Xenopus tropicalis: one gene and its partners. Each later gene encodes a partner of the first gene's protein in a complex. Links are inferred from orthologs where the notes say so. Each region holds a gene or a part of one and is shown in the gene's direction. Other genes may lie near its edges.

Region 1 (4,159 bases):
ATCACTAATAATGACTTTTTCTTTTTAGGCTAGTGGCACACAGGGCTGTTCATTGGCTTTTCTCCATCTGCAGTTTCTATACAGCTACTACTGGGGAAAAATAGGGGGAAAATGTGACGGTGAACTGCCCCTATAATGTGATTGATAAGTTGCTTTTAATGATAGGAAACAAGTCATCACTAACATAATGGCTTTTTGTACATATCCTTTCTTTTGACATCTTTATAGTAAATTTGTTTTCTGTTATTTATTATAATTAGATTGATTATATATTAACTAGAGCTCACATGTTATATTAGTGCCTAGGGGAGCCTACAGTCAAATTTCATTGACATAAAGACTTAAATACAAATAAATAAAGTTGGCCATACACCGGCCGATTAAAACGATTATTGGTAGAATGGATAAACATAGGGCGTTTAGGAGGAGTGACAAGGTGACTGACAAATGAGACAGAAAATCCTACTTTGTGGCAATATACAGCCTGTTTATCATCCCCTTTAAATTATCATTTTATTCTATATAGATCACTTGTGGTGCAACAAATATGTTGCTTTTCACTCTCCAGCCAATGATATGTCTTTGAAGCTGTGTCTGGTACCGCTCCCTCTCCATTCATTCCAGATGAATAAGATCTGCAGTGCTCAAAGCCATAGTTCACTATTCATAGGAATGCAGTAGCACAGGGTTACCTGCTTTATCCCCTACGCACAGGGTGCAGTATATCAGAGATAAAACAGCCAACTGCTTAGGCCGATAACTTCACAAATGTATTTCATTTTAATGTTTAGGGGAAAATTCAGAGTGATATCAGAGAAGCTTGTCTCTTGCCCTTACTTCAGACAGAGTGGCTCCAGAGATCCTGCTTCCTTCGTTTGTTTAACAATGCTACATTGTGGCTGATAAATGCAATTTGAACAAGCTGCTTCTAGATCCTAATTTGTACACTTATTTCTAGTGATATGACAAAATGCGATGTGAAAATCTGAAATGCAAAATATTTTGATTTGCGTTTTTACCACCAATTTTATTTCAATGTAAAGTAATGCTGTTGCCAAGAAATGATTTTATGATACATTTGGACACCATCAGAAGTCATCAGCACTTAAACTAAACCACATAGTAGAGTTGATCAGCTGCTACAAGCACCCACACGCCAGTACTCGCTACCACCTATACCAGTGCACAAATGTTATACTTGTGCATGCCCATACATTTTATGATAGAGTGAGAAACTGGGGTTGTTTATATATTCGACTGGACACGTTAACTGCAGTTCTATTTTGGCAAATCAGGCTATCAGCTTACCAGCCTCTGATTCTTTTCTAAGGCCAATCACTTTCTAGCACTTCTGTCTCATATTGCTTGCCATTAGATATAATAGTAATCATGGTGATTAAAGCATCACCTCAGAATGCAGGCCTTCTAGTTTATAGGTCTTCTTGTGACATAAGCATATATTTGTATAATAGATAACCATAAAAAAATAACCATAACTTATTTATCAACTCCTACCGCTCTTGAGCTCAATCCATTATCTCTTCCTAAGTACCTCATCATCTTATCTCTAGTGTTGCTACCTTTTACTGTAATAGCAATATTGCCTTTACTTAAAAAAAAAAAAAAAAAAATATATATATATATATATATAATCTCCCACCCCCCAACACAAAAAAGCTGTGGTAAGCAATATTGCATACTTTATGTACATGTAAATGTATCTAAAATCTTATTTTTAAATTATGTGCTGCAAAACTCCATCAGCAATACAAATGAGTGCTAAGATGAGAAAAAGGTCATGAAACATCTGAATGACTCCTGCAAAGAGAGAGAAATTAATACCAGTCGGAATACTATATGAACCTTTTTAGATAAAATCCATGTTTTGTTGTGACTCCTACCTTTAGAAGCTGAATGGCACTGTTTTTCTCCATTGATCATAGGTGCTGTGGTGGGTCCCATTCATTATATCAGCTCAGCCCTTTTATGTAGGTGCATATAATGGGTTTTAATGATGGAGTGCAGAATGAACTAGGTGTAGCTCAGATGAGCTCAAAATCACCTGTGAATAAATACCTTAGTTGTCCTGCATGTGTTCTATTAAGAATTTACTTATTCTTAGAATTTCAGAAGTTATGGAGGAGTGTCCCAGTAGATTCCATGGACGATGAGAAGATTGAAGAATACCTAAAAAGGCAGGGAATTTCTTCAATGCAAGACTCTGGACCAAAGAAAATTGTAAGAGAGCCTTATAATTTGTGTAAAATACCTTTCAATCTGTCAATTTTTCTACAATAGGAATATTGTCCTTAATCCACACTTACATCCTTAGGTTAATGTCCCACGGGGAGATTAGTTGATTAATCTCTGCTACTGCAGGCCACTAATCTCCCTGAAAAGCCTTCCCAGTGGCAAGGAAACTTTGGGCGATTTAGAGATGTGTATGCCTTCCCATTGGTGGTTTACATTATTGCCAGTGGGAAGGCATGTCAGGGAGATTAGTTGCCCGCGGTAGCAGAGATTTGTTTTCTGGGTTGCAGTAGTTTTTATACTTGCCTTCGTGTTCCATAGTCTGTGCCTTGTTCTGCTATTTGCAGCGTTAACGCAATTTATTAATGCACATTTTAGATTCCAGTGCAGAAGAGGAAGAAAACTACTTCACAGAGAAGGAGGTTTAAGACTCATAACGACCACTTGGCGGGAGTGCTGAAAGATTATACAGATGGTGCTCCAGGCAAATCATAAAAGCATCAATTGGACTAAGGATGTTTACAGAGTATCTTCACTGCAGGATCTCCTTAGCTGCTCATCAACTCCAAACCTTGATAGTTACCTAATATTTCCCCTCACAGACTCAAAAATCCAGAATTACATTCTCTGGGTGTTAAAGAGACCATTTATTTCTGTCTTAGGAGTATTAAAGAATCAAATGTACTATACATTAGCTAAAAAAATATCCTAGAGCTGCCATGTCTCTGCCAGACACAGACCGATTGGCAGTTTGTGGAAGCCGAATATTGTGCTGGTTTTGCTCTGCTTAATTCTGTTCATTCTGATCCCCTTGTTGCTCAGATAAATATGTCTCCAGCATCTGATTTAATGAGTTTTGTGTTTATTGTATTTAAAGGGCAATTGTGCTATTTCAATAGCAAAAATAACTCTTTCTTTTGTTAGCCAACATAAAAACTTTTACGTACAAAATGGTTAAACCACTTTTTTTCTTTTGTTTTAATGTAATAAAGATTGTTTTCTTTTGAACCTTCTATAAACTTGTCTAAATTGGCACATACGTAATGTACCATAGCAAAAAGTGAACAGAAATGATATAAAGAACAGTGGTTCAAATTTGATTTTGCAAAATCCTGAATAATATATATTTTTAAAATAAATAGTTGCACACCTTTTTGGAAGTAAGAGTCAAGGAAGCAAATGGTACGTTAACATATTATGCTCTTTATGTAGTAAGTATTACAAGTCCTTTTGTCAAAGGGAATCGCCTTTACAAAGGACTTGGTTACGAAATGTTGGGGTTTCCGGGTATATTTGTATATATAATGTATATGTGTGTATGTGTAATTATATCAGTTGATGTTTGCTAAATCAAGGGTTCATACCCCCATATGAAACTAGTGCAACACCTTTAAGAAAATAAACAAATATGGGTTGCAGCTTTACAGACTGTGAAACTGCAACCTATTTTTATTTCTGTTAAGCTAAGTACCACTGTATCAGCATATGCCTGGACTTTTTAAATATATATATATATATATATATATATATATATATATATATATATGTATGTGTGTGTGTATATATGTATATATATATATATATGTATATGTATATATATATATATATATATATATATATATATATGTATATGTATATGTGTAAATTATTTTGTAAAATAACCAAGTCAGTAAGTCACTGTAATGACATCACTGAGCACCAATAATAACTGATGACATCACAAGTTATAAAGAGATATCTTAAGCCCTTATGTATTCCATAATATAGACATTGTTCCTCCCAGCAGTGTTGGTTTATATGCAGGGAAGGCCATCTCCCATAGATTCCATTATAATCAAATAATTAAAAAAATTTTCTCTGTAGTAATAAAACAGTGCCTTGTACTTCATCCCAACTAAGATATAAATAA
Region 2 (4,971 bases), on another chromosome or scaffold:
TTTGTATAGTTTTATTTATATAGAACTGCTAATGCAGTGCTGAACAGCAGAACAATAAATTAAAAAACAAATGGGGCCATTAAAATAATAGATAAATCCAGAGTACAATAATACAAAATAAATAAAAAGTACAGATGCATAAGATTTCACAGAGCTTTGAAAGTGACAAAAAGACAAGACGATGGAGGTCCCTGTCCTGTAGAGCTTACGATCTAAATGGGAGGGGTAATTATAGACACAAATAGGTATAACGTGCTGCAGGTTACAGTGGGTGGCACAACAATATAAGTCGCACTTCTCAGTTCATGTTCTAGGCAAGTGATCAAGAGGTTTTATTTTTATAATTGGACTCGCTGCCAAATTATCAGACAAATTAGGTAAAGATTCACTTCCTTACAGCTGGCTTAATGCTTTCCATACATGCGCTGATGCCTGTAGAGCTGTAGAGTCGGTAGATAAATTCTCAGACTCCGATTCCTCAGTTTCTGATACTTCCGACTCCACGACTCCGACTCCTCTGTTTTTAATATGCTAATGTATTTTATACATCCAGGAAGGGGCACTTAAAACACAACTGAACTGATAATAAACTGATAGACAATTTTATCTATACTCCTACTCCTACTGATTTCCCTAGAATCCCATAGTCATGTTTAAAGTTTAAGCTAACATTGCAGCTGAATTACAGCAGTTTTTCAAATGTTTTAAAGCTTCAGTCTTAAACTATTGACTATCCATTCCCTTCACGTATACAAGTATTTCTAGTCCTGCAATTTTTTTTTACTTAATTAGTTATCAGTGAGAGTTAGGCTAGGTTCACAGTGGGCATTGTGTTCCCAGTAACAGAGGAACACGACGCAGTGGAGCTGCCGCACCTTAACTGTGCGTTACATCCCATTTAGTGAAGCATACAGTCAATGAAAAGCTTCATAGTCACTCAATGTGTTCATTTATGCACTGCGTGCATTGGGCTTTATTCTTATAGCAGAGAAGTAATTAATTATGACTGTTTGTGAATTGGGACATTTAAACTTGCTTTTTTTTTTTTTTATTCCCATTTAAATTTAGTAGGAGTCGGAGTCGGTTCATTTTTTGCCAACTCCGACTCTGACTCCAGGTACCCAAAATTGCCTCCTACTCCGACTCCACAGCCCTGAAAGAAACACTACTATCTAGATTGTAAGCTCTACAGGGCAGGGACTTTATTGTTATACTTTGGATTGATCCATTATTATCTTAATAACCCCTGTACAGCGCTGTGTACATAAGTAGCACTTTATGAATAAAGATATACATACATACTACTGTATAACTACAATCTCTGTGTAATTGTGCGCCCGAGTACACCAGACAGACATGTATGTATGTATGTATGTATAACTTTATTTATAAAGCACCACAAGGGTACGCAGCGCTGTACAGTCTTACAGAATACAAAATTACACACAGGGAGGACAAGTGATATAATAAATAAATACAATCAGGTATGGGCATTTGCCCTTAAGCGCAGGACTGGGCAAAATAATGTTTTAGTGCTCCAGAAGGTAACAGCTGAGTTTTTTCTTAAAGAGAGTGGGTGAGTGTTCCCTACGGAGGGATTCAGGGATAGTGTTCCAGACGTAAGGAGCAGCGAGATAGAAAGTTTAAGACGAGAGAGCGCAGTGGGTGTGGATGGTGTAAAAAGATGGAGGCTCTGAGAGGAGGCTTCTTCTGGCACAACTCACACACACATGGTCAATTCATTTCCACTTAAGAAAAATACGTTCTCAACCACCCCAAGCCCCACCACAGTGACTCTAGTCTAGATCTAAACCTCATCAAATAGCCCGGTCTACCAGGCACCTACGCTCTACATCTACCTTTCCGTATCATCTTTCGATTGCTTCTGCCTTCCTTAGTGAGAGACAGCACAGAAACCTCAACCCATTTACGTCATGACGCCGGTCGTGCTTTCCTATTGGCCACGTTTCCCTTGTTCATTATGGTTTTCCTGAAGTGTAGTTTTTGTATTATAAAGTAGTGGCATGTAAAGATAATAAACAAGCCGTAAAAGCTGAGAGAAAAAGAGGTATAAAGTTTATTTCTGTAACCGGGAGGAACAAAGGGTAAAGCGGAGCTTCAAGCAGCAATGAAGTGAGTCAATCTCAGAACTGGCAATCGTGCTTTCCATGCTGTGTATAAGGAAATGGGTCTTTACGTTTGTCTTTTGTCTGCTCCCGAAGTTAATGTTTTAATATTTGCACCCACTCCTGATAGTCTATCGTAAATGAAAGTCGGGGAGGACATGTCATGTGGGTCTAGATCCTTTGCGGCAAATAAGGGTATCGTGGGATTTCGAATAAAAATCTCACGTAATCTCGGTAATAAAAAGAATCGGTTATCTTTTATGAAATTGTCTAAATTTACAGCACTGAATTCTAGAGTCCCTTAGTAAGACTAAAGTGGAACAGTGGGAGAAATCTGGCCTGTTTTTTTTGCTTGGTTACATTTTTTAAATGTTACATATATTATAGACCTCTTATAAGCTAAATACATGCATATACAGGGGATTGAACTATATGGGGCTCATGATTCTGTTGGGTCCAAAGAGTATTTCGTATAAATCCATCAGCAATAGCCTCAGATTTCCTTCTTTAACTTAATTCCACAGAGACAAACTAATCTCTAATGGCAGAGTTTAGGTGTGGATAAGGAAGTTTGGAAAGACAACATCCATCAGCAAGCATAAAATAGATCTTTTAAAATAGCTAAGAATGAGGAGATTGAGCATAATATCATAGAATGTTGGATATTGTTACTTCTTAATCAAAATAGCTTACCTGTGTGTATTACTTTTCTGCCAGGCTGAATATAGATGGGTTACTGGTATACTTTCCCTATGAGTACATCTATCCCGAACAGTACTCCTACATGTTGGAGCTCAAGAGGACCCTGGATGCCAAAGTAAGTATTGCCCTGAACAGTGGACTAAAATAATGCATGCTTATGTCAATAGCAACCACTTGGATTTTCATGGATATCTGACTTTTCTGGCTTATTATATGGTTGATTATAAAAATAACTTCTTGTTCTAGTGCATGTCTGGGCCTAGAATTTCTGTTGAAGATCATGACTAGCATTATTTTAAGCATTACATTCTATCTGTGTGTCTAGCTCTCATTTTTTCTTCCTTTAAGTGTTAGGTGCTGGTCACCTGACTGCTTTAAATGCTGACAGTTTTACTCCCCAGTTTTGCCTTTTTCTTGTGTTATTATTAGTTCTCACCTGTCTCTTGCTCATCCTTGTTGCCCTTGTATTTTCTGTTTTTCTTTACATTGAAGCTGAGATTTTAGTATTACAGAAGTATGTTGCATTCTCAGGTTAATGTTTTTATTTGTCTCTTCATATTCTTGCATTCTGCCCAAAATAGTCTCTATTCTTAAACTCTATTTATAGTGCTAAATATAAACATTCCATTAAGGTGAGGATCTTTTTATTGTCAGTAAATCTATTGGATGTTTTTGAAAAATCATTTATAAGTATGGTGTTTGAATATTTGACCTGCATTAATCTCTTTTTTTTGTGCACTATTTAAATATATAGTACTGCTTGTCTGTTTCCTAGGGTCACGGTGTTCTGGAGATGCCGTCTGGGACTGGGAAAACAGTTTCTCTCCTGTCGCTTATTGTGGCCTACCAAAGGGTAATACATTTTTTCTTATTCTCTTTTCTTGCACCTTCTTTCACTTTCTTACACATATTGTATTTTGCAGGCTTACCCGTTGGAAGTCACTAAGTTAATATACTGCTCCAGAACTGTTCCTGAAATAGAGAAGGTTAGAAATGACTGTTTAAATAATTACTTTGCTAAGTACAGTTACTTTGCTAAGTACAGTTAACCTACTCTTCACTGAAGTACTATTGAAAGCCAGTGATTATTTTATAACTAATATATAGCAACCTTTTTACAGGTGGTGGAGGAGTTAAGAAAGCTAATTGAATACACTCAAGCACAGACTGGAGGCACACTCAATTTTATGGCTTTGGCTCTGAGCTCCAGACGTAATCTTTGTGTTAATCCAGAGGTGAGAATGCATTTTCATATCTGAATGACATCTTCTATTAGGCTTTAGTGATATTTTGGGTATCTCTCCAGTTTTGTATGTTCTGTTTTTCAGGTCAGTGCTTTGCGATTTGGCAAAGAGATAGATGGTCGTTGTCACAGTTTGACAGCTTCCTTTGTCCGTTCCCAGAAGCAGAGAGACCCAACTGTACAAACCTGTCGTTTTTTTGAGGTATGAGGCAATTAAAAGAAATTCCAAACCAAAAATTTTAATACTTGCCAAAATATTTACTTATAACATTCATGGATAAATGTGTAAGGTCTTACAAGTTCCATGTACTTGTGGTAAAAGTTGAAGACATTCTACACTGTCTGTGAGCTTAACTGCAATTTTAACTTTTAAGTGTTGTGTAGCATGTAGGGATAAAGAAACATTTTCTATAGTTCAACAGCATTCTCCTCTCTAACACTTCCTCCAAAGTCTCCAATTTTGCTTAGTACAGAGCCTGATTTCCTTATCACCTTATTAAAGAAGAAGGAAAGCTACTCAGGCATTTTATTGCCAATAGATTAGTCACAAAAGTGCAAGCTAGAGCTTTATATTTATTTTGCAGGCTGCTTTACCATACCTGAGTAAACAGGTATGGTTTATTTAAGAAAGCAGCAGCCATTTTGTCCCATGCAGAAATTTAGTCGACCGCAATAGATCTCTCCTACCATGGGCGACTAATCTCTCCAAAATGCATTTCCATCGTCAACAGTACAAATCACTTCAGTTTTCCCAAGTCAGGCAAAGTTGCCTGCAGGAGGAAACTTTACACAAAGTTTAGACCAAAGCAGAGCATAGATTGTAAAAAGCACTTGAAAAGTAAAAAAAAACATAACTCTTTCATAGCTATCTGCCTTCCCCAGGTGAGCATACATCATGTT
Region 3 (5,020 bases), on another chromosome or scaffold:
ATGAGGCTAGGGAATACACTGGTACATGGGATGAGGCTAGGGAATACACTGGTACATGGGATGAGGCTAGGGCATACACTGGTACATGGGATGAGGCTAGGGAATACACTGGTACATGGGATGAGGCTAGGGAATACACTGGTACACGGGATGAGGCTAGGGAATACACTGGTACACGGGATGAGGCTAGGGAATACACTGGTACACGGGATGGGGCTAGGGAATACACTGGTACACGGGATGGGGCTAGGGAATACACTGGTACATGGGATGAGGCTAGGGAATACACTGGTACATGGGATGAGGCTAGGGAATACACTGGTACATGGGATGGGGCTAGGGAATACACTGGTACATGGGATGAGGCTAGGGCATACACTGGTACATGGGATGAGGCTAGGGAATACACTGGTACATGGGATGAGGCTAGGGAATACACTGGTACATGGGATGGGGTTAGGGAATACACTGGTACATGGGATGAGGCTAGGGAATACACTGGTACATGGGATGGGGTTAGGGAATACACTGGTACATGGGATGGGGCTAGGGAATACACTGGTACATGGGATGGGGTAGGGAATACACTGGTACATGGGATGGGGTTAGGGAATACACTGGTACATGGGATGGGGTTAGGGAATACACTGGTACATGGGATGGGGTTAGGGAATACACTGGTACATGGGATGGGGTTAGGGAATACACTGGTACATGGGATGGGGTTAGGGAATACACTGGTACAGGATGGGTAGGGAACACTGGTACATGGGATGGGGTTAGGGAATACACTGGTACATGGGATGGGGCTAGGGAATACACTGGTACATGGGATGGGGCTAGGGAATACACTGGTACATGGGATGGGGTTAGGGAATACACTGGTACATGGGATGGGGCTAGGGAATACACTGGTACATGGGATGGGGCTAGGGAATACACTGGTACATGGGATGAGGCTAGGGAATACACTGGTACATGGGATGAGGCTAGGGAATACACTGGTACACGGGATGAGGCTAGGGAATACACTGGTACACGGGATGAGGCTAGGGAATACACTGGTACACGGGATGAGGCTAGGGAATACACTGGTACACGGGATGAGGCTAGGGAATACACTGGTACATGGGATGAGGCTAGGGAATACACTGGTACATGGGATGAGGCTAGGGAATACACTGGTACATGGGATGGGGCTAGGGAATACACTGGTACGTCATTACTGCAACACGTGCACCATTCCAGCTGATTAATCCCGGCTCAGAGTTCCCCATGAACAAGCTGTTGGAGTACACACACCTGAGCTAGGACACCTTGTACTCCAGTTACAGCTAAACTCCTTCCCAGGAACACAACCGTAGCCCAAAAGAGGCGAACAGAAGCTATTCTCTATTAAACACATGGATACTGTACTGTATCACCCCAATCGCTCCTACTCAATGTGGACTGACAGGTGGTATGGACATCGTGTGCTCACAAAGTCTGTCAGACGCGGGACTGTCGCACGTAAGACAGTAAAGCACCATGACTTCCTTGGCCATTACCTGCTCGAATTTTTCTAGCCTACCCGCGTCCTCCGATACAGCGCAACCCTTCTCAACCAGAGTCGACATACTGTGACGCACTCCTGTAAGTGCCGCGCTCTGACAAACACCAGCGACCCCAGGGCTACTTTAGCACACTGAAGCCTTCACACCAATCAGAGACGCCGCCGGCGTCCATGTGACGGGAGGTTGAGGAAGCAGCCCAGCTGCCATTTTTGACACTGGCGGAGTATTAATATTATTCATTGCGCTCAAAACTGCTTATGATTTGTATATGTTGGACCCATATTACACATAAGTAACTAGACGATGTAAATTTATTTTCCCTTTGAAAGTAGTGAAAGAGCCCACGTAGAACCTGGCCACCGCGGACTAGAATTTGTATTTCAGCATGCAATGTAAACGCAGAGTACCTTCAACATGGGAAGTGACGCCATTTGCTATTGTCGTGACGTCATCAGAACGGGCGAAAAGACAGTGAGAGTGCTGAGTGCAGCCGGGAAGCTGAAAGGACTCCCTCTCGCATCATGAACGCGCCACCAGCGTTTGAGTCTTTTCTACTGTTCGAGGGTGAAAAAAAGTAAGTATTTCATTCAGGCATATTGGCCTTTATACAGCCAATTAAAGAAACACCAAAACCAGCACAATATGACATAGCCATAGATGAAAGACTGCTGCACAAGTGTCACATTAACCCAGGACAGGCTCCCTGCTGGAAATTACAGTCAAGCTGCTATCATAGCCAAGGTGAAATGACAGTGAAATCCAGTGGATCGGTTTTACACAAACTGGCCCTGCTGTTGGCAATTAAAAATAAATTAACAGTAAATGAATTAATCTTTAGTATGTTATTAATGTACCTATTCCATGCAACTTTTCTCAAGGTGCCCACTTGTTGTTGTTTACTTTAAAGTATTAGCATTTTCATTCTGCCACTTTCCAGCTTGCAATTGAAAATGCTGTCTGGTTGTCTGGGCAACTTTAAAACATAATACCATCAGTTTTATTGTTATTTTAGATTTTATTCCATTTCAGACTATAAACCTGTGTATAAGAGGAATTGCATAACTCACTAAATCCTTTCTGTCTATTAGAGATTAGGTCCCGGTTATTACTGCAGACAAGGTTTGGCTTCAAATATTAGACTAGTTGAGATAACAATTAACCCCATATCATTATTATTATTATCATATATTATTTTCCATTCTTTAAATATCTGACCTTATTTATGGGTAACTGATGGATAGGAGTTGCTGATATGAGTATGGGGAAGATCAGTAGGGCACAAGTCTCCCAATAGGCTTCTCTGTTTCACATGCCACCTATCCATGGCCTTGGATGATGGCACTTTAGGTTTTATGGTGTCCACAGATAAAGCCTTTGGGTAGTGGGTTTCCAGGTTGGGTTTGTATCTTTTCAGTTAGGCCCACTCAGGTCTTAACTTGGAGGTGTAATTTTCTTGTTTTCCCCTCTTTATTTCATACAAGGTTACAGATATTTTATATATTAGTGACTCTGCCATAGTTCTATGCATATGGACTGGACATATCAACATTGGTGCTTTAATGTTACCCAAAGTTTGACACATCGCGGTGGAGCTGTACTTCTATGTCAAGTCTTATTTCTAAAGGTGGCCATACACGGGCCGACTATAGCTGCCGATATCGGTCCCTTGGACCGATTCGGCAGCTAATCGGCCCGTGTATGGGGAGAGCAGATCGGCCTGGCCGACCGATATCTGGCCTGAAATTGGCCAGATCTCGATCGGCCAGGTTAGAAAATCTGGTCGGATCGGGGACCGCATCGGCTCGTTGATGCGGTCCCCGATCCGACTGCCCCATTGCCTCCCACATAATCCGATCGTCTGGCCCCAGGGCCAAACGATCGGATTATTATTTTTTTTACCTAAATGGTCCCCAACGAGCCGATGCGGTCCCCGATCCGACCAGATTTTCTAACCTGGCCGATCGAGATCTGGCCAATTTCAGGCCAGATATCGGTCGGCCAGGCCGATCTGCTCTCCCCATACACGGGCCGATTAGCTGCCGAATCGGTCCAAGGGACCGATATCGGCAGCTATAGTCGGCCCGTGTATGGCCACCTTAACACACATAAGTGAATGGTTTAGGAAGGGAGGCTGATAAGTCATTGCACAGGAGCATATAATGGCCCACTCTACCGGTACCAATACACCAGGGAAGTGACAGGTGCTGCTCCTTCTTGACACTTCTTTTTATGTTGATTGCCAAATCAGACCATTTGCTCGACAGGTCAGTTCAACTTATAACCAAGTTGTCATTCAATGTATAGCTGCTTGTATTCTTTCTTTCTTACTGTTTTTATATGATCACATGTGATGATGATGTAGCTTGAATGCCTATATAACTAATAATCATTAATGTTTAGGATAACAATCACTAAGGATACCAAGGTACCTAATGCTTGTTTGTTTACAATCAACAAGGAAGATCATACAATTGGAAATATCATTAAGTCGTAAGTATTTATTTTTTTAACTTTATTTTAATTAAGGCAGAGTAGCACTATCAAACCAGCTGTTACAAATATCTCTAGTTACGGGGGGGGGGGGGGGGAGTTAAAAATGTCACACTTAGTGCTGTGGCACACGGGAAGATTAGTCACCCGCGACAAATCTCCCTTGTTGCGGGCTACTATTCTCCCCAATATGTAAATCGCCGGTGGGATGACATATGCAAAAATGAAAACTGCCAAAATAGATAGCAAAATAAAAAATATTTTCAATGTAGTTAATTAGGCAAAAATGTAATCTAGGGCTGGAGTGGGCAGATGTTTAACATAATGGCCAGAACTCTACTTCCTGCTTTACAGCTCTCTAAGCTTTTAGCTGTCAGTAGTCAATCAGTAAACAAAGGGAGCTTCTATGGCCATTCTGCTGAAAAATATAGCGTTCTACCTTTAAGATAAACATCTTTCATTCTGGGGATTTCCTTGTCCCTTAATATGATAAAGGGATAGTTTACCTTTACTTTTAATGTTAGTATGATGTAGACATTGACAATTTGCAATTGGTCTTTATTATCTATTTTTTATGTTTTTTGAGTTATTTATCTTTTTGTTCAGCAGCTCTCCAGTTTGGTATTTCTGCAGCTAATTGGTTGCTAGGGTCTTATCTACCATAGCAACCAGGCATTGGATTGAACAAAAGACCACAATGCGTGCATAGAAATATAAGTAATAGAAAGTAGCAATAATTTTAAAAATTGTAGCCTCAAAGAGAAGTAGTTTTTAACTGCCGGGGTAATTTTAAAGTTGCAAAAAGACAGAAGAGGAAGGCAATTAAAAATATAAAAAAATAAATAATGGAAACCAATTGTAAAGTTGCCAGGAATAGGGCATTATATGACATACTAAAAGTTAGAATGTATGACTTTGTAAACTTATTCTATTATAGACAGCTGCTGAAGGATCCTCAGGTGTTATTTGCAGGTTAC
Region 4 (4,861 bases), on another chromosome or scaffold:
AGAGGCCGATGCTACAGTGGGAGACTGAATGGAACCCCTTTGTGCAACCTGGGGTGCAATTTACTATACCCGGGCACACCGCTGGGCACTTAGTCCTGCAATACTGCCCGACAGATCCCCTTCCCTCCCCCTGGGGGTAATACTCACCCGCACATCCACTGAGCAGCCAACTGTCCACGAGGGGTTCCCCAAAACCTGATTCTGACACAGCAGATGCACCAGGGAAGACTTTCCGACTCCTGCAAAGAGACAAACATGCAGCGGCCGTTATCACCCAATACACATTACATATAACTGGATATGCCCCCCGGGGGCAGCACAATATTCATTTCAGCCCAAGTGCAGAATAGCTGGGAGAGAGCAGCGGCACAAACTCCCCCTCTGGAACCCCATGTCGCTCCTAACCATTAGTACCCACTGCGTCCCTGGCACCACTCTAAACCCCTGTCCCACTCTCCTTGTGCCTCCTCTTTGTACCCCCAGCCCCTGTCTCCCTGGGACCCCTCTGTACCCCCAGCCCCTGTCTCCCCCCTGTCTCCCCTCTGTACCCCCAGCCCCTGTCTCCCCTCTGTACCCCCAGCCCCTGTCTCCCCTCTGTACCCCCAGCCCCTGTCTCCCCCCTGTCTCCCCTCTGTACCCCCAGCCCCTGTCTCCCCTCTGTACCCCCAGCCCCTGTCTCCCCTCTGTCTCCCCTCTGTACCCCCAGCCCCTGTCTCCCCTCTGTACCCCCAGCCCCTGTCTCCCCTCTGTACCCCCAGCCCCTGTCTCCCCTCTGTACCCCCAGCCCCTGTCTCCCTAGTACCCCCAGCCCCTGTCTCCCCTCTGTACCCCCAGCCCCTGTCTCCCCCCTGTACCCCCAGCCCCTGTCTCCCCTCTGTACCCCCAGCCCCTGTCTCCCCCCTGTACCCCAGCCCCTGTCTCCCCCCTGTACCCCAGCCCCTGTCTCCCCCCTGTACCCCAGCCCCTGTCTCCCCTCTGTACCCCCAGCCCCTGTCTCCCCCCTGTCTCCCCTCTGTACCCCCAGCCCCTGTCTCCCCTCTGTACCCCCAGCCCCTGTCTCCCCTCTGTACCCCCAGCCCCACATTCCTTTGGTCTTTTCAGAACAGCAAGTTCCGCTCCCTCTGTACCCCCAACTCCCACACCTGTACCCCCAACTCCCACACCTGTACCCCCAACTCCCACACCTGTACCCCCAATTCCCACACCTGTACCCCCAATTCCCACACCTGTACCCCCAACTCCCACACCTGTACCCCCAACTCCCACACCTGTACCCCCAATTCCCACACCTGTACCCCCAATTCCCACACCTGTACCCCCAACTCCCACACCTGTACCCCCAACTCCCACACCTGTACCCCCAATTCCCACACCTGTACCCCCAACTCCCACACCTGTACCCCAACTCCCACACTGACCGGGATTCCCCTTTACCCCTGCTCACCTGAATCCCCCAGAACCAGAACCTTCACTCTGTCCAGAGAAGCCATCTTACTCTGTCAGGCTTCTAGCCAATCCTGACACGTCTTCATTTCCGTAACTGCCGCCCCCTAGCAACCCAGCCTATGCAGCCAGCGGATTGGCGGCGCACCTAACACATGGGTTTTTGCTGCTCTGACTTCAGTTTTGTTATTGGCCGGCGGGAAAAACTACATTGCTGGCGGAAGTACAGACTTGGTTCTGCGTTTTACACTGACACGCAACGAAACGAAGCATTATGTGGCACAGTCGGCCATTTCTCTTTCTGGTGTCTCTCGGTGATAACATTGGTTTGTTACTGGCGGAAGTGACATAGTTATCCTTCACAAAGATGGCGGCCGCTACAGGAGACTAAGACGTTGATTGGATGCGCGGCGTGGACTTTTTACGTATCTGACCAGTGTGGTGGGAGCAGAATCTGTGTGAGGTGAGTGGTCCTCAAACTTCATTTTATTCATTAGTTTTATGTGAGTGGAACATACAGTGACCCGCCCTCTCCTCATTGGCCCCTGGGGGCCCCGTATATCTCTTTATTGTGTTGTATTTATGTTATTTATATATGAGGGACAGAAGGGCGCTTTGTGCCTATATGTTCCATTCTGTTATAACAAGGCTGCTGTGTGATGCTCAGTGCCAATGGGGTTAATGGGGGGGGGGGGTATAACTAAAGGTAATTGTACTGTAAGTGCCCATAGGAGGGAACATCTCTAACTGCTATTGGCTGGTTACATTGGCCAGCTGTGTATAGAGCATGGGGTACATGGGCCTTCGCTATGTGGGAGGAGCCACTGCAGGGTGTTGTTGTACTGCACCTCCCACTGCCGCTGTGTAGCGTTATTGCTTAGCTCAAGTGATAAGATGGACGCCAGGCGCTCTTGTGAACCAAAAATTGTCCAAGACAAGTTGTAGTAGCGCAGGGATAGATCAGTACTCACAAGTGCAGAAATAGCCGACACCTTGAGGTTAGTTAGAGAGGGTGCCGCCGGCTTATCCCACCTCTGTGGCAGACTGGGCAGGGTAAATGCAACTGTCAGCTCGGCACTATGGAGGGCAGTCTGGATAGTTAATCCAATCCTCAGGTTGAATACCTTTAGCTTGAAAGGGTCCCACAGCGACTGTATATCAGGGATTTACACTGACCTGTATCCTGTATCTTAACCGTGGCCCTAGGCTGAGGCAACAGTGCCTGTATGGAAGGTACTCCCAGCTAACCTCCTGGTTGGAGCCAGAACTGCTCTTACTATCTAGTTCTATCTGTCTCACTCTCCTAGAGAGTGCTATTACAGTATTCTGCTACTCTAGATAGTCCTCGTTCATGGGTACTCTAGGGCAGATGGCTTTACTGGGGCCTATTCTGATCCCAGGCTCAGTGGACCTTCAATCAACAATTTATTCAGTGAAATAAACAATCATTTATTGGCTCAAATTGATACAAAACAATTCAAAAAAGCACATCAGGTGCATCCCAGTGCCTCATGGTGCCCATACTCCACTCTCCTAGACCCTAAGATGAGTGGACCTTCAGCTGAGTCTCAGTGGCAGCCAAAGAGGAAGCCACACCCCCCTGCTAAACACTATATGAGAGTACAAGGGGTGTGGTCAACCCAAATAACCAATCAGGTATAAGTGCAAAGGATAAAATAGATACACAGGTATTTGCCCAGTAACTAGGAGTTTAAAGCCATAGGGGAGTTTAACCCTATGGGTCCCTACACATATATGTATTACTGTTCTTAAGGGCAGGGGCAAGATGACGGACCCAGATGTGGCTACAGAAGTCCCCGCCGTGCTGAAACGCCTGGCCAAGTACGTGGTACGTGGGTTCTACGGGCTGGAGCACGCTCTGGCGCTGGATATTCTCATCCGGAACCCCTGTGTGAAGGAAGACGACATGATGGAGCTGCTGAAGTTCGACCGGAAGCAACTGAGAGCCGTTCTCAACACTCTCAAGGGCGACAAATTCATCAAGTGCCGAATGCGCGTGGAGACCGCCACCGACGGGAAGACCACCAGGCACAACTACTACTTTATTAACTACAGGCTGCTGGTCAACGTGGTGAAGTACAAGCTGGACCACATGAGGCGCCGGATCGAGACCGACGAGAGAGATTCAACCAACAGAGCGTCTTTCAAGTGCCCAAACTGCTGCAGCACTTTCACTGACCTCGAGGCTAACCAGCTCTTCGACCCCATGACAGGTAAGTGGCCATTTGTGCTTCGTCTGCGCTGCTGTGTATGGGAACCCCCAAACAGTCATTTTATAGGAGCATTAGCCCTGGGACTCCTCCAGTTACATGGGAGTAGGAGAAACAATAGGTTAGCTGAAAGCAGTTCTAATGGGTAGCGCTGGCTGAAAGCTCAGACTCAGGCACAAGGCACTGAGATGGCGCCTACACACCAATATTACAGCTAAGTATGACCCCCATTTGAAAGTTACAAGGAGTTAGAAGGCTGCAAACAATTAAAAGACTATAAATGATGATCAATTGAAAAGTTGCTCAGAATTGTCTGTTCTATAACATACTAACAGTTAAATATATATATATAACAATATAGTATGGTAAAGCCATCCGGCCCTATACAGTGGGGGGGATAGTATCTCCATAGATCCTTCTGCCATAGGGATCGGTGCTTCCGTAGTCAGTAGCTGGGCAGTAGGTACATGGGGAGGGCAGTGACAGCTCCTTTGTGGGGGGAGACCACGTACCAGGCTGGGAGGTTGGGGCTGATTTAGTGGCACGGGGTATTTCTGGATTGTTTTGTTTATTGCAGACATGGTTTTTTTTTCTCCTATGTTGTTGTGGCGATATGCACCCACTGGCGATATGCACCCACTGGCGATATGCACCCACTGGCGATATGCACCCACTGGCGATATGCACCCACTGGCGATATGCACCCACTGGCGATATGCACCCACTGGCGATATGCACCCACTGGCGATATGCACCCACTGGCGATATGCACCCACTGGCGATATGCACCCACTGGCGATATGCACCCACTGGCGATATGCACCCACTGGCGATATGCACCCACTGGCGATATGCACCCACTGGCGATATGCACCCACTGGCGATATGCACCCACTGGCGATATGCACCCACTGGCGATATGCACCCACTGGCGATATGCACCCACTGCGGGCTCATTAGCAGGCCTCGTGCCGTGGGCTCGTATTTCTGGCATTTGGGTGACAAGTTGTCTCTTTAGTGTTTATAAAAATGAATCTTTAGCTTTCATTTGTTTCCTTTGTCTGTATGAGAGTGGCCACTAGAGGGAGCTGTGGGCTGGCAGAACATAATGGCCCAATACCTGGCACTGACGCTCCTTTTCTCTCCTGGGGGGACTGGAACAGGGAATTTATTTTATTTTGCAGTGA

The links. The genes of interacting proteins can lie anywhere in the genome.
Region 2: gtf2e2 (region 1) and ercc2 share a complex: the UniProt entries of both Homo sapiens proteins name them as parts of the TBP-based Pol II pre-initiation complex. The link is inferred for Xenopus tropicalis from reciprocal best matches to the Homo sapiens genes GTF2E2 and ERCC2.
Region 3: gtf2e2 (region 1) and polr2j share a complex: the UniProt entries of both Homo sapiens proteins name them as parts of the TBP-based Pol II pre-initiation complex. The link is inferred for Xenopus tropicalis from reciprocal best matches to the Homo sapiens genes GTF2E2 and POLR2J.
Region 4: the proteins of gtf2e2 (region 1) and gtf2e1 are in contact, whole or in part, in a crystal structure (PDB 5GPY), measured with the Homo sapiens proteins. The link is inferred for Xenopus tropicalis from reciprocal best matches to the Homo sapiens genes GTF2E2 and GTF2E1. Residues at the interface, in NP_002086.1 of Homo sapiens: Asp159, Gln160, Arg161, Gly162, Leu163, Gly164, Gly165, Leu167, Leu190, Val192, Asn193, Arg194, Pro195, Ile200, Phe202, Cys208, Gln209, Phe210, Ser211, Val212, Asp213, Glu215, Phe216, Gln217, Leu219, Trp220, Arg221, Val223, Thr224, Val225; in NP_005504.2 of Homo sapiens: Arg16, Lys19, Tyr20, Val21, Arg23, Gly24, Phe25, Tyr26, Ile28, Glu29, Leu32, Arg39, Leu51, Leu52, Lys53, Phe54, Asp55, Gln58, Gly68, Asp69, Lys70, Phe71, Lys73, Thr98, Asn101, Val102, Val103, Lys104, Tyr105, Lys106.

Annotation. Positions count from the first base shown.
Region 1 is NC_030677.2:83,811,345-83,815,503, forward strand, and holds the end of gtf2e2 (transcription initiation factor IIE subunit beta), read left to right. Parts: intron 1-2,122; coding exon 2,123-2,238; intron 2,239-2,628; coding exon 2,629-2,745; 3' UTR 2,746-3,410; downstream 3,411-4,159. UniProt on the Homo sapiens protein: Recruits TFIIH to the initiation complex and stimulates the RNA polymerase II C-terminal domain kinase and DNA-dependent ATPase activities of TFIIH. Both TFIIH and TFIIE are required for promoter clearance by RNA polymerase.
Region 2 is NC_030684.2:70,774,292-70,779,262, forward strand, and holds the start of ercc2 (TFIIH basal transcription factor complex helicase XPD subunit), read left to right. Parts: upstream 1-1,999; 5' UTR 2,000-2,128; coding exon 2,129-2,133; intron 2,134-2,843; coding exon 2,844-2,943; intron 2,944-3,603; coding exon 3,604-3,681; intron 3,682-3,751; coding exon 3,752-3,814; intron 3,815-3,949; coding exon 3,950-4,063; intron 4,064-4,156; coding exon 4,157-4,273; intron 4,274-4,971. UniProt on the Homo sapiens protein: ATP-dependent 5'-3' DNA helicase. Component of the general transcription and DNA repair factor IIH (TFIIH) core complex, not absolutely essential for minimal transcription in vitro.
Region 3 is NC_030678.2:94,652,397-94,657,416, reverse strand, and holds the start of polr2j (DNA-directed RNA polymerase II subunit RPB11-a), read left to right. Parts: upstream 1-2,048; 5' UTR 2,049-2,074; coding exon 2,075-2,127; intron 2,128-3,953; coding exon 3,954-4,043; intron 4,044-4,980; coding exon 4,981-5,020. Other genes in the region: txlng (gamma-taxilin), read right to left, coding at 1,548-1,616. UniProt on the Homo sapiens protein: Core component of RNA polymerase II (Pol II), a DNA-dependent RNA polymerase which synthesizes mRNA precursors and many functional non-coding RNAs using the four ribonucleoside triphosphates as substrates.
Region 4 is NC_030678.2:2,926,298-2,931,158, forward strand, and holds the start of gtf2e1 (general transcription factor IIE subunit 1), read left to right. Parts: upstream 1-1,889; 5' UTR 1,890-1,906; intron 1,907-3,217; 5' UTR 3,218-3,229; coding exon 3,230-3,677; intron 3,678-4,861. Other genes in the region: rabl3 (rab-like protein 3), read right to left, coding at 148-239, 1,445-1,490.